Oryzias latipes: one gene and its partners. The protein of the gene in region 3 interacts with the protein of the main gene of each other region in a biochemical or structural test. Links are inferred from orthologs where the notes say so. Each region holds a gene or a part of one and is shown on either strand. Other genes may lie near its edges. The genes, in order: stat3, akt1, mtor, eif4ebp1, maf1 and prkn.

Region 1 (4,018 bases), on a different chromosome or scaffold from region 3:
CCCTTAGAAAATAGTGGGGGGAACACAAAAACATATCGATTTCCAGATTCCAACAACACAAAATTCCCAGGTTTATTGAAAAGAAATCCCAACTTTGTGAAAATATTTAAAGACTATAATTTTTGTGTGTGATCACAACACAAAAAGTTCAAATTGAACATGGTAAAGTGCATTGCAGTAACATAAAATGTGAGAGAAAGTGTTTATATGAGCTATGACTTCATAGCTGCAAACCTAAAAGCCCTGAAAGATCAAGGTCAGCTTTATCTAGCAGATAAAAGCAGACTTTTTAAACAAAGACTTGAATCATTTCTTACCAGTCTTGACTTTCAATCCAGGGTGCAAGAAACTGGCGTAGCTCCATTGGAAAGCTGTCGCTGTACAAGTGGTAGAGCTGCTCCAGATACCTGGTCTCCAGCTGCTGTAACTGGTTCCACTGAGCCATCCTGACAAGCACTGCCTCAAATCTGCCAGAGATGAAACTGCTTTATCAACACAAAACAGGCAGAAAATCAACAGAAAATGATACTTTAGAAAACCGCGCTCAATGTTCTTCATCAGACTGCACCAATGGGAAATGGTTGAACATCAGATTTCTCTGAAAACGACAACAGGCCAATGCTGAGGCCTCGCGTTGCCAAAAGTCATTTCCTGTTCTCTGAAACTGTGCCTTCCCCTAAAAAATATAGGTCAGAGTGAACAGCTGTAAAGCATTGAAAAGCTTATCTCTGGTCAAAGAATTGCCCCGGCAACTTTTGCATGAAACACCGACAAAGCAAACTTCTTCCTCTCAGATGCAGAGGGCATGGATCAAAACCCAGACAAACCATTTCCTCTGAAGCGATAGGCGACTGTCAGATTAGGATTTCCCTTCAAATCCGAGCGTGTGTTTTAAGCATTAACCACCTGCCGATCTGGGACTTTTTGTTGTTTTTGAATTTATCGATCACATCCTGCTGGCTGACTCAGCTGATAAAAGATGGCTACTGCTTCCTTGTTTGCAAATTGAGCTCCCATTCAAGGCATTTAACAGAAAGACATGTCCTGTACCACCCATATTAGGTTACAGGCTCCAGTTTCTGTCCGAAAGCTCACACAATGCTTTGACTATTGTTACACAAGCTTTCTCACAACAGTGTCTGTATTGTTGATTCTGCTAATGTGAACTAGATGCTTGCACTGTATTTGAAAAAAGCAAAACAAAAAATAAACTCATACATATGACCTTCTCAATAGCCAAAATAATGCTCTTCCTGCCCAGAGAATACAGATCAAAGCTGTAATAATATACAGGGTATGAACTTTCATTGCAATAAATATCATTTGGACAAACAAAAAATGTTTTATGCTATTTATTCTAACAGCAAAACTGAAACTGGAGTATTCAGAGCTTATCTGACACAACACAGGAAACTCATTTTAGGGTACTATCACTATTTTAATGTTATTTTGCAGCAAATTATATATAATAATATATAATCGCAATACAAGCAAAATCTTGTAACGAACCTCCTTACATGAAAAAATACAGGAGTACTTTTATCACAAATTTTCAGAAAAGCCTTGTACTAAAAAGTAAAACAACAACAACAACAACAACACTGAAACTTTCTGTTTGATCTTTGTATTTTAATGAAATATGAAGTAGACATTGCTGCATCATGTTGAGAAATCTAGGTATGTAAAATCGCACAAATTCACTACAGTCACTGATTAATCGTTTTCTTTCCTTTCTCAAAGCTCCATGCAGGTCACTGCTATTTGAGAAATCATCAGAATGATTAATAAGAAAGTCAGAAAGAGAACTGCTGTAGTGTTTTTTTTTCTTTTCTGTGTGGTTACTTACTGGTAATGCACAATCCTTACATAAGGTCAGTGATATTCCAGGAAAGTACTTCCTTATTAAACATCAGAGCACAGTCACCATGCCAAGTTTCCCTTTTACAAAGCCTGGGACTGCGAGATGGCTCAGGGACAACAATGCATGCTATTTTATGATATTTATGTAGAAAATTGTCATGCAGCCATATTTATGCTTTATACTATACATGTATATGTAATTCTATGTACGTTTTCAGAACTATTGGGGGCTTAAATATACCTGCAGATCTTATTTGTGCTACGAATGAACAACAGTACTTTTCTTCATAAATATGATGGGCGGGACAACTAAGGAAAAAAACAATAAACAACGACCTCCATACAAGTAAATTATTTAAATTTAAGGCACCAACCACCGGATAGTCGAAAAAGAAACACAAAAACGTCATCACTTTTGAGTCCTGGTCGTGATATTATTACTAACTAACGTCACTCAGCAACTAACATTGAAATGTGTGATGGCTTTAGTTTAAAGACTTACGTAAGAAAGACCCCTGGCACACGATGTCTGTCTGTCTGTCACTAACTTTAGGCATGATGCATTCACAGAATTATATTACATTTGACTGTAGCTAAGTTATGGCTGTAGCTCTAGCTTCGCTTTAGCACGACATCCTTGGAGAAAACTAACTAATACAATGGCAATATTTTGAATTTTTCTTTGTTTTTTTTTTTTTTTTTTTAGTGTAATAATATGTTAACAGCTGAGTCACGACTTACCACCTTCGTTGGATCCGGAGCAGTTTGGTCTCTTTCCCACAAAAAACACAAGCTCACAAAGACGTCAGCGACAACTTTTTAACGAAGAAAAAGTAGAAATTGAGCGTCATAAACGAGGAAAAGTGCTCCCAAATATAGTGTAACGCAAACCGTAATCTTCGCACCACGAGAAACCACTTTCAGAAACAAGTACCCCCCCGCCCAGCCCATCAACTAAACTGCAGTCTTTCCAGCCAAACAAACTTCCAAATCTACTTGGTTGACATTTCATTCCGCCAATGAGAGTCGCTAATTTTTTTTATACCAACTATAAACGACTTTATATGGAGATAAGGCGGGATGTAGCAGCAAGTTTGGTTGAGCCTTCTCTGTTTACCGCTGTCGCAACGAAGCTGTTCCTCAAAGCAAACCCTCCCTCCCGCGGAACTATACGGAAGCCCGTGTGTTTCGCTTATTTCAGAGGGAGGGTTGGTATTTCAAGAGAACAGCCAGCCTGGAAGTCATCTGAGTTACCGGCAACGTTGACGTCATCAAATTTGATAATGATACTGCTTCACAATAGCCAGACCTTTTTCACGGTAGAAGAGTAAAAAAAGAAATGATGACTAATTGACTACTCTGACTGCTGGCTTGAATATTAAAATGTAAACAAACGATAAAGTTGTACAGTTTTCTTTATTTTTAATTAAAAATGCAAATAACATAACCAAAACAGGTCTTACATTGCTGTTGCAATGTATTCACCTTATTCCTAGTGTGTTAGTTATGACTGTAAATTTAAACAAGTCCAAATGTACTGTAGTGAAACACATGATTCTTAGAAGTAATAACTCTATAATGTACAAAAAAAGTATTATTTTACAGGCTTAAAACACATATTTCCTGCCTCCACCATTGTAAATAATGTGCTTATTAATAAACACATTCTTATTTTCTACCAACATCATTCCACCCCTGTGCATGCTTTTTATTTCTCTTTTAGTCTGCTCTCCATCCTGCTCTGAGAGTGCACTCTCCCTAATTGCATTTTCCCACCCATTGATTATTTTAATGCTGTTTTCTGCCAGAGAGTGAGTGTCTATGTGTCTCCATCACATCAAGGTCATCACAACTCTGTAGGGAGACAAAGAGGAACCACCCTTTGCTCCTGTCTGGAGCCGTGTGTCCTTAGCTTTTAATGAAATGAGGTGTCACCGGCTGAATCTATTCTATCAGCTGCAGAATTTCAATTACAGTAGCTTTTTCTCATTTTGTTTGGCTCCTTTCTTCAAGAGAAAATGACTTTTTTTCTTCAAGATTAATGAACAGAGTCTTTTTTTTTTCAAATTGCAGTGCACACACTTTATTCAGAAACAGACACACAAATTCACCTGGTTTCCATGAAAAATAAACCATGAAAGTTTTGGTTGTGCAGGAC
Region 2 (4,135 bases), on a different chromosome or scaffold from region 3:
CTAACCTCATCCAGCTTATTTGACATCAACAGGAAGTGAATGTGACTCGACAGCCTACGAGTCATATCAGAACTGCCCCGGGGCTTGATAACATCTGTCATTTAATATCTGATGAGCGCGTCTGTTATTGCAGCTTCATTCTCACTTCCATCATTGACTAAACCTTCGAAGTCTCTTGAAGCCGCCGCTTGTGTTTACTGCACAGTGGCTGGTGTTGTCCCACACAGCCACCGTGTGAAGCACTGCGCACGTGGATTTGTAAAAAGCACACAGACAGAGCGCAGTTAATCACTCTAGCAGTTGGGATCACGTCAGCATCTTAAGGCGGACTCTGTGACACCGGCATGCGTGCTTTCATACCTTCATACAGACCGGGAGCCGTCGCACAAACCAAAATGGCGACACTGCACACAAGTCTGACTCTGGAGCCACAACAGAGATCTGGCTGTTTTTAAACCGGGAGCGACCTGTCGCTGCTGCGGCTCTGCTGTGTGGAAAAGCTGGGCTGCAGCCAGCAGCCACTGAATGAACCCAGTACCCTGACAGCGGGTCACATGATCTGCAGTCCGGTGGGCCACCGCCTGCCTGGCTGCCCTGATGTCAGAGACGCTTTCAATCATTCATTTTTCTATCTAAACCTTTGCAGGGAGAGGGGGGGGGGGGGGGGGGACCCCTTTCAATACTAATCAGTGCTATGAAGCAAAAGATGTCAAATAGTTTGCTTGTGACTGGGAGGACAGAGACAACCGTCCCATGTGTTAGAGGCAGGAAGCAAAAAAGAAAAAACAAGCAGTCATCAAGACACCACCAAATTCACTCCAAATCAATAGATTCAAATCTGGTTTTCCTCATTTTTCTGTTTCCGTTTTAGTAAGCAAAACCTGGCAGCTGGTTTGTGGTTACACAGGTAGAACAGTACTCTTTTTTGAAATCATTACAAGAAAGACGAGATCAAACATTCTCCCCTGATCCTGGCAAAAGAAAACATTGAGGCAATGCTTGGTGTGCTTTAAATGCCACAATAGGAACAGGCATTGGTGTGATCTACTACACCGTACAGCGTTCCTCTTTTAGGTTCCTTAAAAAAATAACATCACCAATAATAATAATATTAAGGCTAAGTGGAGTAGTTGTTACTAAATACCAAACCACAGTAGGAGCAATCTTGACAAGCAAGAAGCTTAATCCTGTGATGACATGAACAGCAAACCCTTTATGACTCCCAGAACTGTTTTCACTTTCAGGCTGTCCAGACAGGCTGTGCAGAAGTGTACAGATGCAGCTCAGAGCTCAACTTTGAGCTCTTCTCTGATGTGATTGTTTTTGTTTTTTTGTTTTTTCCATCAAACGATGGAGAAGCCAATTTGAAGGCAACCTGACTCACCTGCGCAACAGCCTGGACCATCTGGGAGTCTCTTTTGCAGAAACCAAACGTTTCAAGCAACAACCCTCTGATCCAGCATGCAACCGGTGGCACATTTGCGTCAATGAAGCTGCGAGGGCATTGGGTGGGAGGCTGCTGGTATTTTCTAAATAAAACAGGGAGAGCCCAGCAGTCACTGGCTGCATCACCACGCCAGCTTGTTGCGTCCTCTCCGGGGGTCACATGTCGCGTCCCCTTGTGTACACAAACTGAGGCAATGCAATCTCATGACCAACAAAACAACTTTGACACTCAAGAGAACAGCCCGCCTGGGGACAATGTTCTGGAAACTTCCAGAGACGGAAGTCAAACATGATTTCACACTTCCATGAAGGCTGTCCTGTTCCCATGTGCAGCACCTCCACATCTATAAGACTGCTGGGGAGGAAAAAAAAGAAAAGAAAATAAACTACCTTTGGCTAAATGGGATGCTTTTAGTAACAGTCATCGCTGTAGGTGGAATAATGACAGTGAGGGCAGTAGAAACCATAAAAACAAGCATTATGTCATTGAACTGATTACTGGAGAGGAAAACATGAAAATAACAGTTGAGGCCTCTCCTTGAGACCTCCCTGGTGTCCGAAAGCCAGAGGCCAAAAAACATAAAATGACTGAAAGGACACGTTTTCAAGAGTGCAGGGTGACAATTCCCAGCAAAGATTTGTTGACAGTGATAGAAACAAACCTTTAATAGCTGAAGCTGAAATGTGTGGCAGCATTTCTGAGCTCAAGAAGAAGAAGCAGTAAACAAAGTGCTAATAGATAACAATGAATGAGCTGCTCTGTCTATTATTGAGCATTTAGTTTGGACTCAACTTTTTTTATTTATTCTTTTATTTCTTTAAGGCCCAATTACGTCAATATTTTCCGTGAGTCTTCACAAAGAAACGAAAAATGAATGATTAGCGTCTGAAAAAAGTGTCTTTCTGCGGTTGGTGCAAAACCACAACGAGTTCATAAGCCCTAAACTGGAACGCGGCGATTCTACGGCGACAAAAAAGAGCCATAAAAGTGTCTCATTTCGGGGGTTTTCACTTCGCAATGGATAAAAAAAGGATATGGGGCCTAGCAGGGCAGCTTGGGTGAGAATAACCGCATCCCATGTAAGTACAATGGGGACCTACCCTGTCTGGCTGTCGGCCTCTTGCAGTTTAACCACGCGACGGAAAACGCGGCCGTTTACCTGTGCGGGAACTCAACAGCGTGTCCGTCTCATTACAGTGGGCCGTTTCGGCGGTATTTTGAGTTGGTAAGTCCTTCAACAATGTGCACAGAAGTCTCTCATTTACTCCGTTTCTCTTGCCTTTCTTCCACTACACCTCCCAAACGCGCTGTCTGCAATGCCTCTGTGGCGGCCCGGCTCTCCCGGGTCCTAGCGCTGGTCTTTTATCAGCTCCACAAGACGAGCCGTTGGATCTCTGCTGTCCCGTTTGGGAGAAATGATTTTTTTTTTTTTTAATGGAGCGGGTCTGCGAGGTCTGGATGCACTTGATGAACTCCTCTGTGTTCTATCTGGTGGTGAAGCGGGTGTTTGGACCCCCAGAGGTCCCGCTAATGTTTGAAGGGGTCCTTCCTGCAATGAATGACTTGATTCACTTCATGGAACATGAGATTCTGTTCAAGATTGATTTACTGTAGGAAGTCAGTGGTGATTCATTTTTGTTAATTTGCTGTGGCTGTAATCTTTGCTGGTATGATCACTCAGAGAAAACAACAGGTCCAGGGCAGAAGTGAAAGTGCAGAATTTGAAGGATGATTGTCAAAAGAAAATAGGATGAGGAGGAAGGAGGCTGAGAGGAAGATGCTGAGAGTCTTTGTCACAGAATAAACATGAAAAAAGCACACGTTGGAAAAAGTGAATCAAAAATAAATGCATGAATGTCACCAAATAAATAAGTTTTTGTCTCAATTTTGTGTGTGTGTGTGTTTGTTTTTTATTTTTATTTTTTATAGCAAATATAAAGCAGTTGGATAGGACGATTAAACAAATATAAAGCTGGTTGGAACAAATAATGTGTTTTTTGTTAAAATACGTATAAATCAGTAAAGACTTTAAATGTCAAGAATGATAAATATGCAAGGCTTGGTGTGGAAAAAACTTGATCTTTCCAGTAAAATATATAAAAAAAGGTACATTTTATTTATGCCCCTTATTTTCATGCACTACACATAAGTATTTACTTTTATTACATACAGTATACATTTTTTGACACTTTTTCAATATTATTATCATTCTAAAAGAGGGGTTATGCTTTTATTGTGGGAACTCTGGTCACTTAGTATCACAATGCACCATCCGTTTAAACTCCAGTACCCCCTGTTAGATGACTGGCCACGGGGGGATAATTCTGAAAACTCCAAAGAAAATAAATTTATTTTTGTTCCTGTAGAATCTCTCCCCAATTTTCATTCACGAATATAGGGCTCTTATTGACTCTGGCGCTGAACACAGCCTCATCGATCAGCATCTCCTTAAACAACTCACGTTACCCACCGGGCCACTCGACTCTCCAACGCTGCCGGGTTAGGTGGTCAACAACTTTCCCGGATCACGAATCGTTCCAAACTTATTCTCATTCTCACCTCCGGTAACCATAGAGAATATCATAGATTTTTTTTTTACTCAATTTCCTCAGACCCTTATAATTCTGGGGTGCTCCTTGCTCCAACTTCATAACCCTCATATTGACTGGTTTACTCTCCGCATTTCCA
Region 3 (4,190 bases):
ACCTCTCCTCCATCAGCTCACGGCAGTACCGGCTCTCCACCAGGGAGCTCTTGGCCGGTACCGGAGCGGCTCCGAAGGTGAGGAAGCCCTGCGGCGTGCTGTAGCCCAGCAGGCCCAGCAAAGCGTTTGACTGCTGCGGCTGCACCGACTGGAAACTGGTGAAGGGCGTAATATGGCGGGGCTTGGTTCCAAATCCCATCAGCTCCTTGCAGTACTTGTCGTGGACCAGCTGCTGCTGTGTGATCTCCTCCATCTCCTCACGCATTCGCTGGACGGAGAAAAGGCCGTGAGCTGTCAAGCTTCCTGACCCGGGACTTGGTCCACCGTGGACGGAGATCTCACCTCTCCCTCCATGCTGCTGATGCGGACCAGCTCGTTCAGAATCAGGAGCGCCCCGTGAACCCTGTCGTCCCGATTCATCCCTTTCTCCTTAGCCAAAGTCTCGTCGAAGCCTTTCTCCGCCTCCTCAAACGTTTGCTGCGGGACACGACAAGGACAGGGCTGAGGCTTTCTGCCGAGACCCGTCACCTTCTGGGGAAGGGAACCGTTAAAAACACGGATGCCGTTTGTCTCACCTTGTACCACTGAGGCTTCTGCATCTCTTTGGTCTCCCTCTGGGTGGTGAGGATGAGACAGGCTCGCAGGGCCGACACGGCGCCCTCTCGGATGGCCTGCTTCTGGTCCCAGACTGCATAAAAGATGTTGTCGAAGAAGGGCTGGACTTGCTGGAAGAAGAAGGTGGGTGCGCTGACGGCCAGCTCCCTCAGCACCAACACCTGAACAGACGCAGGAAAAGCTTTGAAGCAGGTCTTCATTATGGACGTGTCAACATCTCAGTGTTTTAAAATGAACGGCTGTGTTTTATCACATCAGTCCTTTGATTGGAAAGCAGATACAGGCGTCCTGTTAGAAAAGCTAAATCCATCCATCTCCATCTCAAAGTAATCTTAAAGGACCATCTCCAAACTCTTTTTAGTCTCAAAGATTCTAGAAAAGGTTGTTGCAGAGCAGTTTACTGCAGAAGAACAATCTCAATCTGGCTTTTGCTGACATCCTTCTACTGAAACGCCTCTAAAGGGAGATCTGAATGACATGAAGGTGACTGGGAAATGCTCAGTTTAGGTTTTTTTTAACCTTTTCTCTGCATTTGACTCAGTTGAACGTTGCGTTATTCTTCTTCTTATTGTCCTTTACGTCTTGAGACGCTAAGGGCAGCAATGAAATCTTTCCCTTTCTGACGGCCGCGGGTCAAATTGTGGTGCTGCAATGAGGACTTTTGCTAATGTCGTTGGTCACGTCATTTATGACTCTTTCTGGCAAAAGTCTCACAGAAATAAACGTCACTAAGTTACACTGCAGACCTGTTTAACGGTAACTTGTGGAAACTTTTGTCTCGACACTCAAACTTCCAAAGATGTGTCAGACATGATTCAAGAACCGAAGCTCCAAAGTGCGGCAGGACAGTTTCAGGATGGCGAGCATTCTGTTTACACAACAAACAGTCCGTGTGGTCGGCCCGGGACTCACAGCTGCATGGCGCCTGCCTTCGTTTCGGTCGGCCCCCAGCCACTCCAGAGCTCTCTTCACTTCAAACTCCACATATTCAGCGGTGAAGGTGTCTCCCGCCATAGACAGGTGGCCCATTGCTTTGGAGGCCATCTCCATGACCACAGGATCGCTGGAAGGCAGGAGGTTGCGGAGGTAGTTGGCAAAGCGACTGATCCTGGTGGCATTTCCTCCCTCAACGCCAATGAGACTCACTGGAACATAGGTGCAGCACCAACAACATAAAGCAACTGGACACACAGCAGGCATGTGGGGTTGGAGGTCGTGACTGAGCGTACCGATAGCGAGTATGCCTCCTTTCTTCTCATTCACGTCAGAGCTGGACACCAGCTCAAATATGTGGTGGTTTAACTCGTCGTAGAACGTCGTGGCTTCATCTTGGCTGAGCTGAAGCAGAAGATCAGAAAATGAAGAACAAAGTGTGAGGCAGTCGAAGCATCCCGGTTTTCCGTGCAGGTACCTCTCTCAGCTCTGTGGTCACATAATGCTGCAGATCTTTGGCAGACTTTGCTCGGGTGTCTTCGTTTCGACTCTTTAAGCCGCTGACAAACTGCTGCAGCACTGTGGCTGTGCCTGACAGGATCACCATGGCGACAGCTGGAAAGACAACCACGGGCATCACAGTGTTACACCAGGAAAAACATAAATAACTAAAAGACAAGAGTCAGACAATCGGAGAATGACAACACGCTTTAAGGACAAACACAACCCGACTGACATCTGGAATATAAACTCTGGAAGAAGAATTATTATAAACGACACAAAGGCAGAATCAGAGTTCGTCCAAACGTCGAGTTATGGAAAAATAGTGTCAAGTTCAGACCTTACTCGACCTCGATGACGTCATCATTAGTTGCGGGCTAGCTACGTTAGCACGTAACAACATCGGTTTTAGTACTCTAAAACTTCAACTTCGAATCCTCCTTTTACAAATTCAAACCGGGCACATCCAGGTTCTGGTCATTGCATTTACGCGATATGATAAGCTGGGACTCCCTCGTTAAGTCGTTTCTGTGTTCAACAACTGTTAGCGGGTGCAAGGATTTAGCTAGCTCGTGCATCGAACAGGCGGTCACTTACTTGTTTGTGTTGGTATGATGCAAACGTTTCTGTTGTGTCGTTAATGCGGAATGTTTGTCATAGTGCGAACACTAGAATGCCAGCACTCGGACGGCTAGCCAGGATAAGCAGGAAGGACGCTGGTAGCTCCGCAGGCACTGTGCTGCGCAGTACGCTCACTGCGCAGGTTTTCTCTGAGCTCAGCTGGGCGGTTCTTAAACCACGTGTGATGTTGAAGCTGCTATGCAGTACCTACGTTCACCGAATGAGGGCGCAAACAGTAACATGCAAATGGGAAATGGATACATCATTTACAATAAAAAATAAAAAATGAAAATAAATTACAACTTAATAGCTTAAATGTTATCCATGCAGTGATGTAATGAAAAAAGGTTCTCAATAAACCGAAAAAAACTAAAAGTAAAAAATAAAATCAAAGCAAATCTCTGCTAAGGTCAGTGTTTTTCTGTTGCATGATTGCAGCTTTTAAAAAAGTACGTTTTTGTCATATTTTAGTGAGTCTGGGGTCAGGCCTTACCCTTTTAGACTAACTATACCAAACTGTAGTGATGGACCTCCAGTAACTTGTTGCTTTGTGTTGTTTGTGTTTCTTTAATCATCCTCCAATTTCCTTAACCTCCCAGCCCCCCCCCGTCCAGTCCAAGAAAAAATGCATTCATACACAATAAATGTGAATAAAGTTTTGCCTCAAATCCCAAAGGGGTTTATACAAATAGACACCTCGCGTGTCAGAAGATTCATGACCCCTAGTGTAACAGTAAAATCTGTCTAACACAAGAAGCCCTCAGCCCTGATGTGTTTGCCCAGCTGTTGGACAGGACAAGTAAGTAAAAAATAATAACACACATGCAAATAAATAAAATACAATAAAAATATAAAAAGTGCATTTGGGAATTTATGTATTTTAGAGTTGTACACAATTATTTAATAATATACATTACAACTAATATTTTTTGTCTTTTAGGTTTTTTACATAAATCTTATTTGACCTCAGGAATCAATTGAAAGTTGTTGTTGCTGTACCTGTCTTCAGGTGTGTCCCAGTAACACACTTGATCCCATGCCTTCCTCAGGGGGGAGACATTGTCCAGGTGTAAAGTCAGGTCTGAGATCTTCCACCTCTCCATCTGTGCTGTGTTGTTACAGAACACTTGAACCAGACCTTCACAGTCCTAAATCCATCAGTCCAATGGAAATGGGATACTTCTGTACTGTTTCAAATAAATCTGGACCAACATTTGTCTATTATGCATTTCAGTGTAGGTGTTACATGTTAGAAGTTTGTTAAGGCAAACAGGTCAACAGGTCATCAACTGGCACTCATACCCTACTCTTCAGTTTCGACAGACCTTTCAATCTTTTATTTGTCTGATGCTACAGTTTCTCTTCTTCAACCCTCCTGTATTTTCCACTTTTGAGGCTAAAACTGATTTAGCGTCATTCTTCTACATTAAATTTAGAGAACAGATCAGTGCACACATTTTTTCCTTATTTTACTTCCTCACAATGGAGAGGATAGTTCTGTCAATCAGCTTTTTTCTACA
Region 4 (3,983 bases), on a different chromosome or scaffold from region 3:
CTGGAACACTCCTGATCTGATGAAAATGAGCTCTTTATGTCTAAACTTTCTTGCTGCTGACTGATGAGGCATTGTTGGTGTCTGTGTTCCGTTTGATGCCACTACATGAAGGCACACTTTATCATCAGCAAATAGGTTTTAGACCTTGAATAGAATAAAAAAAAAGGCTTGTGATCTTCAGGCATTAATATGAGTATCAAAGACAGACATTTTTAACCCAGATTCTAAAAGAGATCACTTTTCCTCCAAAGAAATGATGATGGGATAAGAGGAGACGTTCCAGATACTCCATTCACAGCATTGGATCCACCTATATATCCATTTCAAACTGCGCATCGTCACCTAGAAAAAGCACACAAAAATTATACTTTAACTTTCTAAAATTCAGGAGGCAACAAGGACGTTGACAGACAATGTTTTCAGTCAAAATAAACAATCTTGCTTCAAGATTAAGGTGCATCAACTTGCTTATTCTTCTTTAAGCATTTAGCTACCAAATTCTACATTTAGTAGAAAAACCCCAACTAGAATACATCTAATTATGTATGCTATATTGCAAGACTAAGTTTTTTTTTCTTTTACAAGCAGACAAGAAACTTTATTACACTGGAAATTGCACCACTACATGCATTTGGCCTAAAATAACTCCATGTTCTACCTATTGTGGATGGATTCATTAAATGTTATACACAACACTATGCTGGAGCAAAATGCCAAATTTGACTCTTTTAAATACTTTGGTCAGACTATGATTTGTGAACATACCTGCACTGCTACTGTCAGCCGCAGGCGTGTCTATGTTCACTACTTCTCCATTAAGGGTCTTCTTGTTGAACTCTTTGGTTGGAGGACTGGTCACCCCTGGAATGCTGGGAAGGCCTCGTGGAGGAGTCTTTGCCAAAGGAGAGCTCCGACACTCCAGCAAGAACTTCCGGTCGTAGATGATCCGAGTACCTGTTTGTGCAGAAACGCTTTGTGCGTCAGAACATTTTTTCAATTGTCCGCTTTTCCAGAAAAATGGCTTTGGAATGAATAAGTTAAGTGAAACATAGAACACAAAAGACAACTGATAATCATTAAGCTAGATCAAAAGTGCACCCAGCAGTTTAAAAAAGCTAACATAATTTCAGGTGTATTCAGGTTAGACGATCAAGACTGATTTATCAGAAAAATGCTTTTTTTTGGCTCACATCTCTAAGGAATTCCACATAAAAAGGCAGTAAAAATCATTAAACTAGTGTGTATATCAATGCAAATGATTAAAAATAACATTTCAAATAATTTTACTTCCATTTACTTCAACCACCCCACTCAGGTGGACACCTTTCTCAAGCAACACAAAAACGGAGCTACCGCTTATTTCCAGCAATTATTAACCTGATGCACATGCTCCCCTGTTCTTTAGAAATAGCATGCAATGTGCTGCCACACAGTGTGAACCCTGTAGTTTTACCAAACGAGAAAGAAAACACAACATGACCCATTTACTTCCGTCGTTTTGAACAAATAAAGCAATTATTTTAAGTACATACATAAATGCTTTGAAGTGTTAAAATATGACTTTTAAGATCAACATTAAAATCTGGAATCTTGGTTTGGACACATTTAATTTAAGTATTTCAGGATCCGACTCTAATGGTTCAGATGTAATGTGTACATCATATCGCCATTGGGATCAGGTCATCTGTGTACCAATGTAGTACACAGTGTACAATACAGAGACAATAATAAACAGCCAGTGGGATTATAAAAAATAAATATATGTAAAGAATGACAGATAAATAGTTTTGAGAGGCTTGTTGCTGGTGGAATATCATGTTGGTTTTGTATAAAAGTTACACCTTCAATGAACTGTGGAAAATATTATTACATTTACGTGTAACAGTACAAGGTTTGGAAGGGCGGAGTCTGATGTTTAAGCCCACCCCTTCCAGCTCGTGTTTTTATAAATCCTGCCCCTCTAAGGCCGAGGCCCACCCCTGACCCGTAAATCCCTTCACATCTTAAGCTCCGCCCACATGCTATTCTGTCCAGCTTTAGCAACAAGTACAGCCAGAGCTAAAAGAAAGCAAGAAACCCAAGATAAACACTTCAAACACAAGCAGACAATTTGAGCAGAATAAAGATATGTAACAATATGTCAAATTTTTAAAATGCATACGACTGAGTTACTTTAAACTAGCTTAAAATAAACACCCGCTAGCTAGCATTAGCAGCTAGCTTAACTGCAAGCTATCAGCTGGCTGTACAGTAGCGATGATCTAAAAGGATGTGGGTCCCATGTGGCGTGAATCTGAGTAAATCTTCGCACATGCGTGTTTTGTGTTGGAAAAAGACTTGAAATTTCTATACATACCACCCGGTGTGGTGCTGAACAGGGTCCCTCCGGGGGTAGTGGAGTAGTCGTGGGGCATGTGATCAGCGTTGTTGATGGTTACTCTCTTTGTGGACGGAATGGCCTTAGCAGTTGTTTTCTGGCATTCGGTGGACATCTTTTCTTAGGACTCTTGTACTAAAACTATCTAACTAAATAATATGCCACGAAAAGAAATTCTGGGCGTCCCAGGGCAAAGCCAGATAGTTATTTGGCTCAAAAGAACGGCTGCCTTTGATAAATAAAAATAAATACCTCTTTTTCATAAGTGCAAATTATCACCACACGCGCTCTCACAAACAGGAGGTGTCGATAATCTTTGTTAAAAGAACCTCAGGACACACGCTCCTCCACTTCCACATGCATACAAAACAACAGACAGGCAAGGTAGACAGACAGATGACTGCAGGGAAAAATGCTATCCAGAAAACGTCTACGCCCTCTACTGGTGACTGGCGCTACTGCACCAGCGTTAAAAAAATAATCAAATGTAGAATTGATTTTGTAGTTTCAATCCAAAGGGATCTATAAAAACAAAAAAAACATATTCACTTTTACAGCAAATTGCGCACATTTAGTGTGGATTAGTTAGGACTCTAGTCATTTTTGTGAACTTGTACGAGGTTCATCTTGGTTTCTATAAACAAGTTGTGAATCAAGCTGGGTGCTTCTCCCTCATGGCCCTACAACATACAGAGTTCAGCAATCCAGAATAAATATAGACTAGAATAAATATTTAGGCTGATTAGCAGCGTAAAATCTGTTAGTAGTTTAGTTTAAACATGATATTTTAGTGCTTGCACTTAACAAAAAAGGAGATACCTTGGCATTTCCAATAGTTTGAAACCTAGAAGATTTTGTTTTGTGCACCTCTAAAAATCTTATGCACCTGAATGTGTTTTGCAGATTATTTTTGGGAAAAAATGTTTAAATTGGTTAGTTATTTAGTCTGATAAGATAGAATTGTTTGTGATTTTCAGTTGTGGAAACATACAAAGCTCATTGCATACATGTTAAGATCATTGCTTAATTGATGTGTCATGGAGTACCTTAAACAAAAGCAAACTCACCATACACAAAGACATTTCATTTCTTTATTAATTTTGTAAATGTTGAGCTGGTGTACAGAGTAAATTGTCAATAGATGTCCTTGTATTTTGATTGGATTAAAAGGATTTTACAAGTACATTTTAAATCCATCTTTGACTCTCCATGAAAATAAAAAAAGGAAGCAAAACTAGTTAAAATACCCACAATACCCCTATTTGTCCCAGTGTTGCAGGCATTACCCAGAACTCAACAGTCTCTTGGTAGCTACAGCTGTATGATGCTAAAAGTACATCCATAACATAACTAGAATCCCATTTGACAAGTAAGGGTGCATAGCATTCTAAATAAATATATATGTTTATATATTTCATTTTATATATATATATATATATATATATATATATATATATATATATATATATATATATATATATATATATATATATATATATATACTCTTTTCATTTTTAAAAACATCTTCTGTGCATGTGTGCAGTTGCATTCCTTAGTATAGAGTAATATTACTGCAATAATGTCTCCAAACCATTCTAAAGGAATA
Region 5 (4,012 bases), on a different chromosome or scaffold from region 3:
ACATTTTTTAACATGGGGTAACTGCACGATAAATAATTAATTATTAACAAATTTTGCATTCTTTATCACAGAAAGTTGTCATTTAAAAAAACCAATAACAACAACAGATTATAGTTATTCTCACAGTAAAGTTTTTAAAATTATATCAAATTGGGATCAAACAAATGAAATAGGGGTCTCACAAATGCATGGATAACATACGACATGAATGGATTTCTTAAGTTTGAAGACCCACTTCCATCATCTATGGTCTTAATCATCGAGCCTAGTGCAACAAAAATGGCGAGCTATCCATTCGTACAGTTTTGATTCAGATAGACGTAGACGTACATGGATCTACTCGTCAACAATTAAATGGCATTGAGCGGAGCCAGGAGGCTGTGACAAATACAAAAAATACAATTTAGAATTTTTCCATTAGCTCCTGATTCACAACAATATGAATACCTTACAACACAATTTTCAGATTAATTTACTTAATATTTGTCCTCCATCAGAAAAATGCCACAATTAGACTAAATTACTGCTATAACATAATACCATGGCATTTATTATACATGCAATTAAGACATCTTCTAGTAGATGTGCAGAAACACAAGACTAGTTCCAGCTAAAGATTTTCCATTCTCAAGTTTCTGGGTCTGTTGTCGCTGATAAGACACCCGAGTGGAGCAGAATGGTGTTTATTTTGCTCCTACTCAAGAACAGGTCACACAAGTGCAGTCTGGTAGAGACACTAAACCTTCAAGACCTCTTTGGATCGCTGCAGACTAAATATAGAAACATCACAGGATAAAGCCGTGGAAATAGTAGCACTGGCATCTACACACAGCTGTCCTGCCAAAATAAACAGCATGGGTAACCAGACGACAAAGGGAAAATAGCTCATCAACACGGCTCTTTACATAATTTAGCTGTTGCACTTCCAAAAAAAATGAATGTTGTGACACCCAAAAAGAAACTTTTTTAATGAATCCGCAGAAAATATTGTAACTATGTCCCAGTCTTAGCTCAGTTCCCTCCATAATCCACTAAGCAGCCTTAACGGCAGCGGGACTCAGCTGTTGTGCATTGCACGCACAGACGTGCACGGTGGCGCTCCTAACAACAGTCTCCAAAATAACCACAGAGGACCCCGTGATCTGCGACACTTTTTCAGCCTCTGCTGCAGAGCTCAGTTTCACCACCCACGCAAAATAGAGCAGCGTTATTCCACAGCCTACTAGCTTTTATATAACAACACTGACACTGCATCTGTATTTACAAGCCCAGCCTGGAGGGTTTACATAACTTGTAGAATGCAGGGGGGGTGTTCTAAGCTTTCAGAGTCAATTGCAAGAACTTTGGGTTATCTGAGGACTTTCAGTCTGCCATAGTTGTTTTATCATAGTATTGCATAACATGAAGGCGCTTGTCTGCTCCACTACCCCACTTGTGACACAGGAGTTATTCATCTTTCCACAGTCCACACCCCCTAACCAACCCTTCAGGTTGATAGGATCTTGTCTGCAGAAGGAAAACTTTAAACAAGTCATGAGGTGTGCAACATGCAAAACATTGCTCAAGTGCTTCTGCCGTGAAGACATTTCAAGGAATGAAGGAAATTGAACAAGCATATTTGAAGCAACGGAGCTGAAATAAAAGCATAAATATACATGTGCAATAAAATTGAAGTTTAAAGATGAGTAAAGATGGACATTTCAGATTTCTTATTGGGGAAAAGAAATAAGGAAAATGTCTCCATATAAAGCTGAAATAATAGTAAATATCTGAAGATCAGAGGCTGGCAGCCAATAATGAGTTTCTACAAGTCTGGGGGGGGGATTCCACAACTTCCTTAAAAGTACATACAAGCTACCATGACTAAATAAGAAGAACATTAAAAAAAATTAAAGGTTGCACAGTCTTTTACCTTCCAATGATACGAGATTCTCCAGTTTCAACGCAAAGTCTGGAGCTGAGAGCTTCAAAACTGGAGTTTTCCAACAGCTTCATGGCTGTAAAATACAAAAAACGTTATAATATTTTGAATACTTTCTTTTTTAAACTACCCCATAAAAAATGCGAGTGCATTAAAACGTTATAACGCATTTCTTTTAAAGTGTATGTATTAATTAATTACAACCGACAGAGAACAGCGCCCCGCGAGGACATTTCCCCCAATTAGAAGCAGCTGCCCCTCCCCCACCCCCGAAAAGAAAGTGATAAATCGTCTTCCTGGTTTAATAAAATGATTGAATTCACTTACCAACAAAAGCCTTCTCACCGCAGTCACACAGCAAAAGCTTTTAAATCCAAGTCCCCGTAAAAATCTGACCTCTTAACCGAACACTTACAGAAAAATCAACGATCCGCTGTTGTTGTTGTTGTTCCTCTGCTAACGCTAGCACTTGCTAATTGTTGTTACGCCTCTTCTCTGTGTTCGCCACCGAGCCTTAGTGTGAACTCAAGCTCGGGTATCTTTCAGAAGCACTCGGTCGAGCAGGAATTATTCTGAGGGCTTTTAATTTTATACAGAAGCTGCTTTCTCCGATTATATGCGATGAGATTAAATCCAAAGACTGTTGGCGTCCGTCGGAGTCTTTCTGCAGCGGCATCCCTTTTGACCTGATTTCCACAAAGCGAATTGTATTAGCGGGATCAAGTCGCTCCTTTTTCAGCGACTCGATCAGGAAGAAAAGAAAAAAAAGAGTAGCGAAAATGTTATTAATAAAGAATAGCGGTTAACTAACGTAGCAATACGTCGAAACCAAAAACAAAGGCTCTTCTCACATCAAAACAACGGAATACACTGTGTCAGAAAGCCCAGCCCCTTACATTTATATGCGGATGATGGACACGCCTACTGCTCGTGCACTCTCGTGATTGGCTACATTTTCCTTTCAGTCTGAGGAGCTTATAAAGTACATGTTGTTAGGTTTAGTCATTAGGATATAACAATTTGCAAGAACAGAAAGAAGACAGGGCTTTTTTGACTTAAATCTAAAATATAATAAATAAATCTGATTTTTTGTACTTGGTAATAACATCACATTTGAATGATAAGAAAAACATCAAGCAATATCAATCTCTTCTTCTGAATATGCTCTCCGTCAAGAACATTTTATTTTATTTTTTTCACAAGGTGCATATACAAAAAAAAAAAACATTTTAAAAGAAAAATGCATTGATATAAATACAAAATGCTTAATCACTAGATCCATACACTAGGTAGCGTAGATGGATCACATCTAAGTAATATAGTCTGAAATGTCCTCCAAGCCTTTGCACTCATTATCCAGGTACTCCAGGATCACATTACCCCCATTAAATAGAGGAGTGTCTGGGTGAGACAGCAGTGAGATCAGCGTGTCATCCATCTGAAGAGCTTCACCTGTTTGAGGATGGCAGAATCGCAGCTTCTGCAAATCGGCAGATAATGGTACTGTTACGGCATAAAGGCAATGAAAGAAACATTATTTTTTATAAGCTTCAAACTAACACAAAAGACCTGCTTTTGTATCAATACTTGTATCTCCAAGCACATTTTACTTTTTTTATTACTCAACATTTAGTTGAAATATATCAGAAATGATAGATAAAACATTTATAACCGAAGCACAGGAAGTGGTTGAACTGTTGAATAGAATGAAAAACAAGTAGAGTTTTTTTTTACAGAACACAAGACGGCAGGTGTAGCAGTGGTTGGTGAATTTTACTGAACTATCAGTATTTGCTCCCCAACATTTACCTTTGCTGTCAGAACATTATTGTTGTTCTTCAGACCGGCCATAGAAGCCGCATAATCCACCACTTTCCCCACACTCCATTTAGAACTGAAGAACATGGGGAGGCTTCTGTCCTTGGATTCTTTAGGAAGATAAACCTGAAAATATGTCCTCTCTGTCTGGAAAACCAAAATACAGCAAACAATATGATAAAAAAATGAGGTGTTATATAAGTAATGCCCCAAATATAATAATGACAAAAACAGATGTGATTACAATAAAGTTTTACATTTAAAACTACCTGA
Region 6 (3,500 bases), on a different chromosome or scaffold from region 3:
TGCAGGGGTCAGAGGGCAGGAGCCCCGCCCCACAACCAGGTGCCGGACACATGAGTCCTCCCATTTTCAGTAGGCACTCCTCAGTGGCATATTGCTGGTACCGTGCATACTGTAAGATACAGATAGAGAAAGAGGACTGAGACCGCAAGTTACCTGTGCACAGGTGGGAAGGATTGAGTCTCTTCCTTTGTGTTACAAGTGAGATTTACCTACATCACATTGTAGAGTGAATATTTATTTTTATAGCAGGTATATTTTTACAAAAAGAGTTTGTTTCTTCTTTTATTGTGTGATAGTTTATTTTGTGATTTAATTCTATGAAAAAAAGGTCCGTCTAAAAAACATTGGCTTATTTGCACATGGCCGCAGCAGCTGCTTTTTGATGAAAGCTCTTTGTCAGCCAATCACAGGGCAGCATGAGGACCTGCTGAAACTCCGAGTGCACATCACTTTGGAGCAGCATCATCCCCTAACGTCCGTGTGTCAGCAGGCCGAGCTGGTGGGTGCTGCATCAAAGCTCAGAATGGTGGTGATGAAGAGTCCTGGACCTGCTGGGTGCCCATGAGGTCACCTACACAGTTTCAATAGCGGCTCATCCCTCTTCCGTCATCATCAGAGCCTCTGAACTCCAGCGGCTTGTCTTCAACGTGGGTGTCAGAGCCCTTGTGCTCAGCATGTGTTCCTGATGCTGTGGCAGAGAATCTGAGGTGCACTTACCTGGTCGTCACCCAGAACTCTGAAATGGTGCAGCTCTTTGATCAGCGAGTCCTCACAGCCCGCTGTAGACACAAACGCAGCGTCTTTACACACATACAGATCGGATTCACGCTTGTGCTCTCACTCTTGTTTAAATGTTGACAAAAGGTGTTTTGTCTGGTTCAGGTGAGTACCTGCCTACATCCATGCCGCTCACAGTCTATTCCAGCTAGTGACTCATGTTCTTCATCAATGTCCAGGACTAATTTGCCCACATTTTACATTTTTGATTTGGGTCATCAGACTGTTGTTTTTGATTCTGACCTGTTTTTTTCCCCAGACTTAGGATCACAGACAACTGGTTATAGGCTGAAATCTTCTTTGGATTTCTAAAGTTCATGATCCTTCATGTCTACTGACCACCAACTGGAGTGAGGTGCCTCAGACCTCTAGATGCACCTCCAGCAGGAAAAGCCCTTACCTCATTCATGTTTCACTCCAATTTTTGCAGATGAAACTAACCAAGGCTTTTGGTGAGAATAGAAAAAAAATAACATTTTATTACTGTTTGTGTCATTTCCTAGCAGTTTGTTGGAAATTTTGTCTTGTAGAAAGTAAATCCCAGATGTTGAGAAACTTTCTAATTGAAATTACGTTTTATTAAGAACTCTGTTGTCATCCATCTTTGATTATAGCTCAGCTATATGCAAATTGGTAGAGACAGTTGAAACAAAGCTGAAAAAGTACAGGCATTTTCCTGGTATTGGGATTTTCCCAGTCATGAGTATACTACTGTCATTTCATAGAACAGGTACCAATGCCCTGACATGTTTACTTCTGTAAACTCTTCAAGTTCCATTTTAAATGATACTCTCAAGTCCTGAGTTGTTGCTGTTTTTCGGGAGTCCACAAACTTTTACAACACAAGTTACAGACAAGTTACAGTCTGGGTCTCCCTGTGTCGGTCCCCAGCCTGGATAAAATACAGGGTTGTGTCGGGAAGGGCATCCGGCATAAAAATCTCTCCCAAACCACATGTTTGAATCAGTCAAAGCTGATAAACTGTTGCAACCCCTGAAGGGATGTGCTGAAAAGTGAACAACAACAACCCAGGTTGTCAAGTAAGGGAACTGAGACTCCTTCATCAAGTCTTCAGATTACAAGCCTGCTTATTTTGGTCAGAGTTCTGTCAGCTGTCTAGGATCACAGTTAGCCTTTTATTTGGTTTCCATCCACAGCCCAGTGGGCAAATCTGAAAGGTTAACCAGAAACGCAAGACCAGCCCCCCTATCCTCTGTTATCAGGGTCCATGTTTGTGAGTTTGAACCACCATGAAGGGCTCAACAGGCTCTCGTTACTCTGGAGAGCCATTGAATCTGAGCCAATGACCATAAACAGTTTTTTCCTCAGTACCAGGCGGGGACCAGAAGGTTCTGATTTGACCCTTTGCCTGAGGAACCATAGGCTGGTTCCTATATTTGTTGGCTATTTCCGTAGCACCAAAGTTATCAAGCCAAGGTTTGCCAAGGAAGAGGCTTCTCCACCTGACCTCTTCACCTCCAAGGTTAAATTGTGAACAATAGCAGAAATGTTACCAATAAAAGTAAACAGAATCGTGAACAATATTGTGTGTACAAATGGAATGTGCATTTTTAGTACAAAAAAGTACACCCAAGGAGGCATATGTTCATTTCTTCTTTGCTTTGGGGTGTGGTCTGTTCCTGTTTGTTTTGGTCTTTATTGTCCTCCACCACCCAATAATAACAGTCAAAACAGGTGATGTGGTGAAGGAGGTGAATCTTTCAGCATGGTGGTGACTGTACCACAGCTCCAAATCTTAGACACCTCCTAAAAAAAAAGGAAAACGCAGTTGGTGGTCTTTTGTGCTGAGTTATTGATGCTTCGGTGAGAGGGATTGTTTACGGAATACTACACCAAGATTTAGTAAATCTGTTCACTTTTGACGGAACCTCTGGAGAAGGACACGAGCAACTCTTTAGCTGTGTTGTTGTTGTTTTTTAGGATTGTCTTCATGTACTTCACTTTATTAACTTCACACTGTGGGCATTTCTGGAAATGGTTACTCAGCTTAGAAGCACAGAAAGGTGCTGGTGGGCTTTGGAAACAGTTGCAGGCACAGAGGAAGTCCACATGGACATCTTGTAGCAGCAGCAAAGCTGTGAATGCGAATGACGACCCTGTAGGTGTAACTCTGACATGCAAACGGTCACCACACTGACCCCCCGCTTCTCACCTGCACACGGCAGAGAGTATCCAATCGCAGCGTGGTGAACAAACTGTCGCTCGTTCAGGCGGCTCTGACAGTACAGACGGAAACAGTCCAGACATATCACATGGCGCTCTGAGCACTGGAAGACCAGGACCACGCCCCTAAAAGACAAAAGAAAACCATACGTGAGAGTGAGTTTGTGCTTAGGTGGGCCAAACTGCAGTTTGAAGTGTCAGAGCAAAGTAATGACATTCAAATTTACAGTTAAAGTTAAAGATAAAGTTATTTTTTCAATTTAATGTTCATTTTCATGTTTATGTCAGCTGGCATGATTCAACCCCCGACTTCATACAGGTTTCCACACATAAAATCATGTGCAAACTTGACAACGTGTCCAAAAACAAGTTTCACTTGATTTTTTTTTAACGAATAGTTTCAGTAAAATACCGCTTGCAAGAATCCATCTAGTGTGTTTGCCTTTGATGAGTGTGCTTTGCGGGTGTTTGTGGCAGAACACACTGAGGAATAGATAGTAGTGCACGAAATGTGATTTCCAAACATGAAACAGGATTGC

The links.
Region 1: the proteins of mtor (region 3) and stat3 form a complex in vitro, tested with the Homo sapiens proteins (2 studies listed by BioGRID, with this or other methods). The link is inferred for Oryzias latipes from reciprocal best matches to the Homo sapiens genes MTOR and STAT3.
Region 2: of the proteins of mtor (region 3) and akt1, one has a biochemical effect on the other in vitro, tested with the Homo sapiens proteins (19 studies listed by BioGRID and IntAct, with this or other methods). The link is inferred for Oryzias latipes from reciprocal best matches to the Homo sapiens genes MTOR and AKT1.
Region 4: of the proteins of mtor (region 3) and eif4ebp1, one has a biochemical effect on the other in vitro, tested with the Homo sapiens proteins (29 studies listed by BioGRID and IntAct, with this or other methods). The link is inferred for Oryzias latipes from reciprocal best matches to the Homo sapiens genes MTOR and EIF4EBP1.
Region 5: of the proteins of mtor (region 3) and maf1, one has a biochemical effect on the other in vitro, tested with the Homo sapiens proteins (2 studies listed by BioGRID and IntAct). The link is inferred for Oryzias latipes from reciprocal best matches to the Homo sapiens genes MTOR and MAF1.
Region 6: of the proteins of mtor (region 3) and prkn, one has a biochemical effect on the other in vitro, tested with the Homo sapiens proteins (2 studies listed by BioGRID). The link is inferred for Oryzias latipes from reciprocal best matches to the Homo sapiens genes MTOR and PRKN.

Annotation. Positions count from the first base shown.
Region 1 is NC_019866.2:6,345,275-6,349,292, forward strand, and holds the start of stat3 (signal transducer and activator of transcription 3), read right to left. Parts: upstream 2,801-4,018; 5' UTR 2,602-2,800; intron 468-2,601; 5' UTR 446-467; coding exon 318-445; intron 3-317; coding exon 1-2. UniProt on the Homo sapiens protein: Signal transducer and transcription activator that mediates cellular responses to interleukins, KITLG/SCF, LEP and other growth factors. Once activated, recruits coactivators, such as NCOA1 or MED1, to the promoter region of the target gene.
Region 2 is NC_019880.2:14,666,888-14,671,022, reverse strand, and holds the start of akt1 (RAC-alpha serine/threonine-protein kinase), read right to left. Parts: upstream 2,801-4,135; 5' UTR 2,548-2,800; intron 1-2,547. UniProt on the Homo sapiens protein: AKT1 is one of 3 closely related serine/threonine-protein kinases (AKT1, AKT2 and AKT3) called the AKT kinase, and which regulate many processes including metabolism, proliferation, cell survival, growth and angiogenesis.
Region 3 is NC_019865.2:1,214,094-1,218,283, forward strand, and holds the start of mtor (serine/threonine-protein kinase mTOR), read right to left. Parts: upstream 2,801-4,190; 5' UTR 2,647-2,800; intron 2,164-2,646; 5' UTR 2,156-2,163; coding exon 2,027-2,155; intron 1,954-2,026; coding exon 1,845-1,953; intron 1,761-1,844; coding exon 1,528-1,760; intron 777-1,527; coding exon 576-776; intron 478-575; coding exon 343-477; intron 269-342; coding exon 1-268. UniProt on the Homo sapiens protein: Serine/threonine protein kinase which is a central regulator of cellular metabolism, growth and survival in response to hormones, growth factors, nutrients, energy and stress signals.
Region 4 is NC_019867.2:12,548,044-12,552,026, reverse strand, and holds the start of eif4ebp1 (eukaryotic translation initiation factor 4E-binding protein 1), read right to left. Parts: upstream 2,801-3,983; 5' UTR 2,493-2,800; coding exon 2,357-2,492; intron 955-2,356; coding exon 766-954; intron 343-765; coding exon 311-342; 3' UTR 1-310. UniProt on the Homo sapiens protein: Repressor of translation initiation that regulates EIF4E activity by preventing its assembly into the eIF4F complex: hypophosphorylated form competes with EIF4G1/EIF4G3 and strongly binds to EIF4E, leading to repress translation.
Region 5 is NC_019878.2:20,068,124-20,072,135, reverse strand, and holds the start of maf1 (repressor of RNA polymerase III transcription MAF1 homolog), read right to left. Parts: upstream 2,801-4,012; 5' UTR 2,249-2,800; intron 1,998-2,248; 5' UTR 1,996-1,997; coding exon 1,913-1,995; intron 1-1,912. Other genes in the region: zfand1 (AN1-type zinc finger protein 1), read right to left, coding at 3,231-3,401, 3,731-3,886, 4,009-4,012. UniProt on the Homo sapiens protein: Plays a role in the repression of RNA polymerase III-mediated transcription in response to changing nutritional, environmental and cellular stress conditions to balance the production of highly abundant tRNAs, 5S rRNA, and other small non-coding RNAs with cell growth and maintenance.
Region 6 is NC_019873.2:12,968,318-12,971,817, reverse strand, and holds part of prkn (E3 ubiquitin-protein ligase parkin), read right to left. Parts: intron 3,088-3,500; coding exon 2,951-3,087; intron 780-2,950; coding exon 718-779; intron 110-717; coding exon 1-109. UniProt on the Homo sapiens protein: Functions within a multiprotein E3 ubiquitin ligase complex, catalyzing the covalent attachment of ubiquitin moieties onto substrate proteins. Substrates include SYT11 and VDAC1.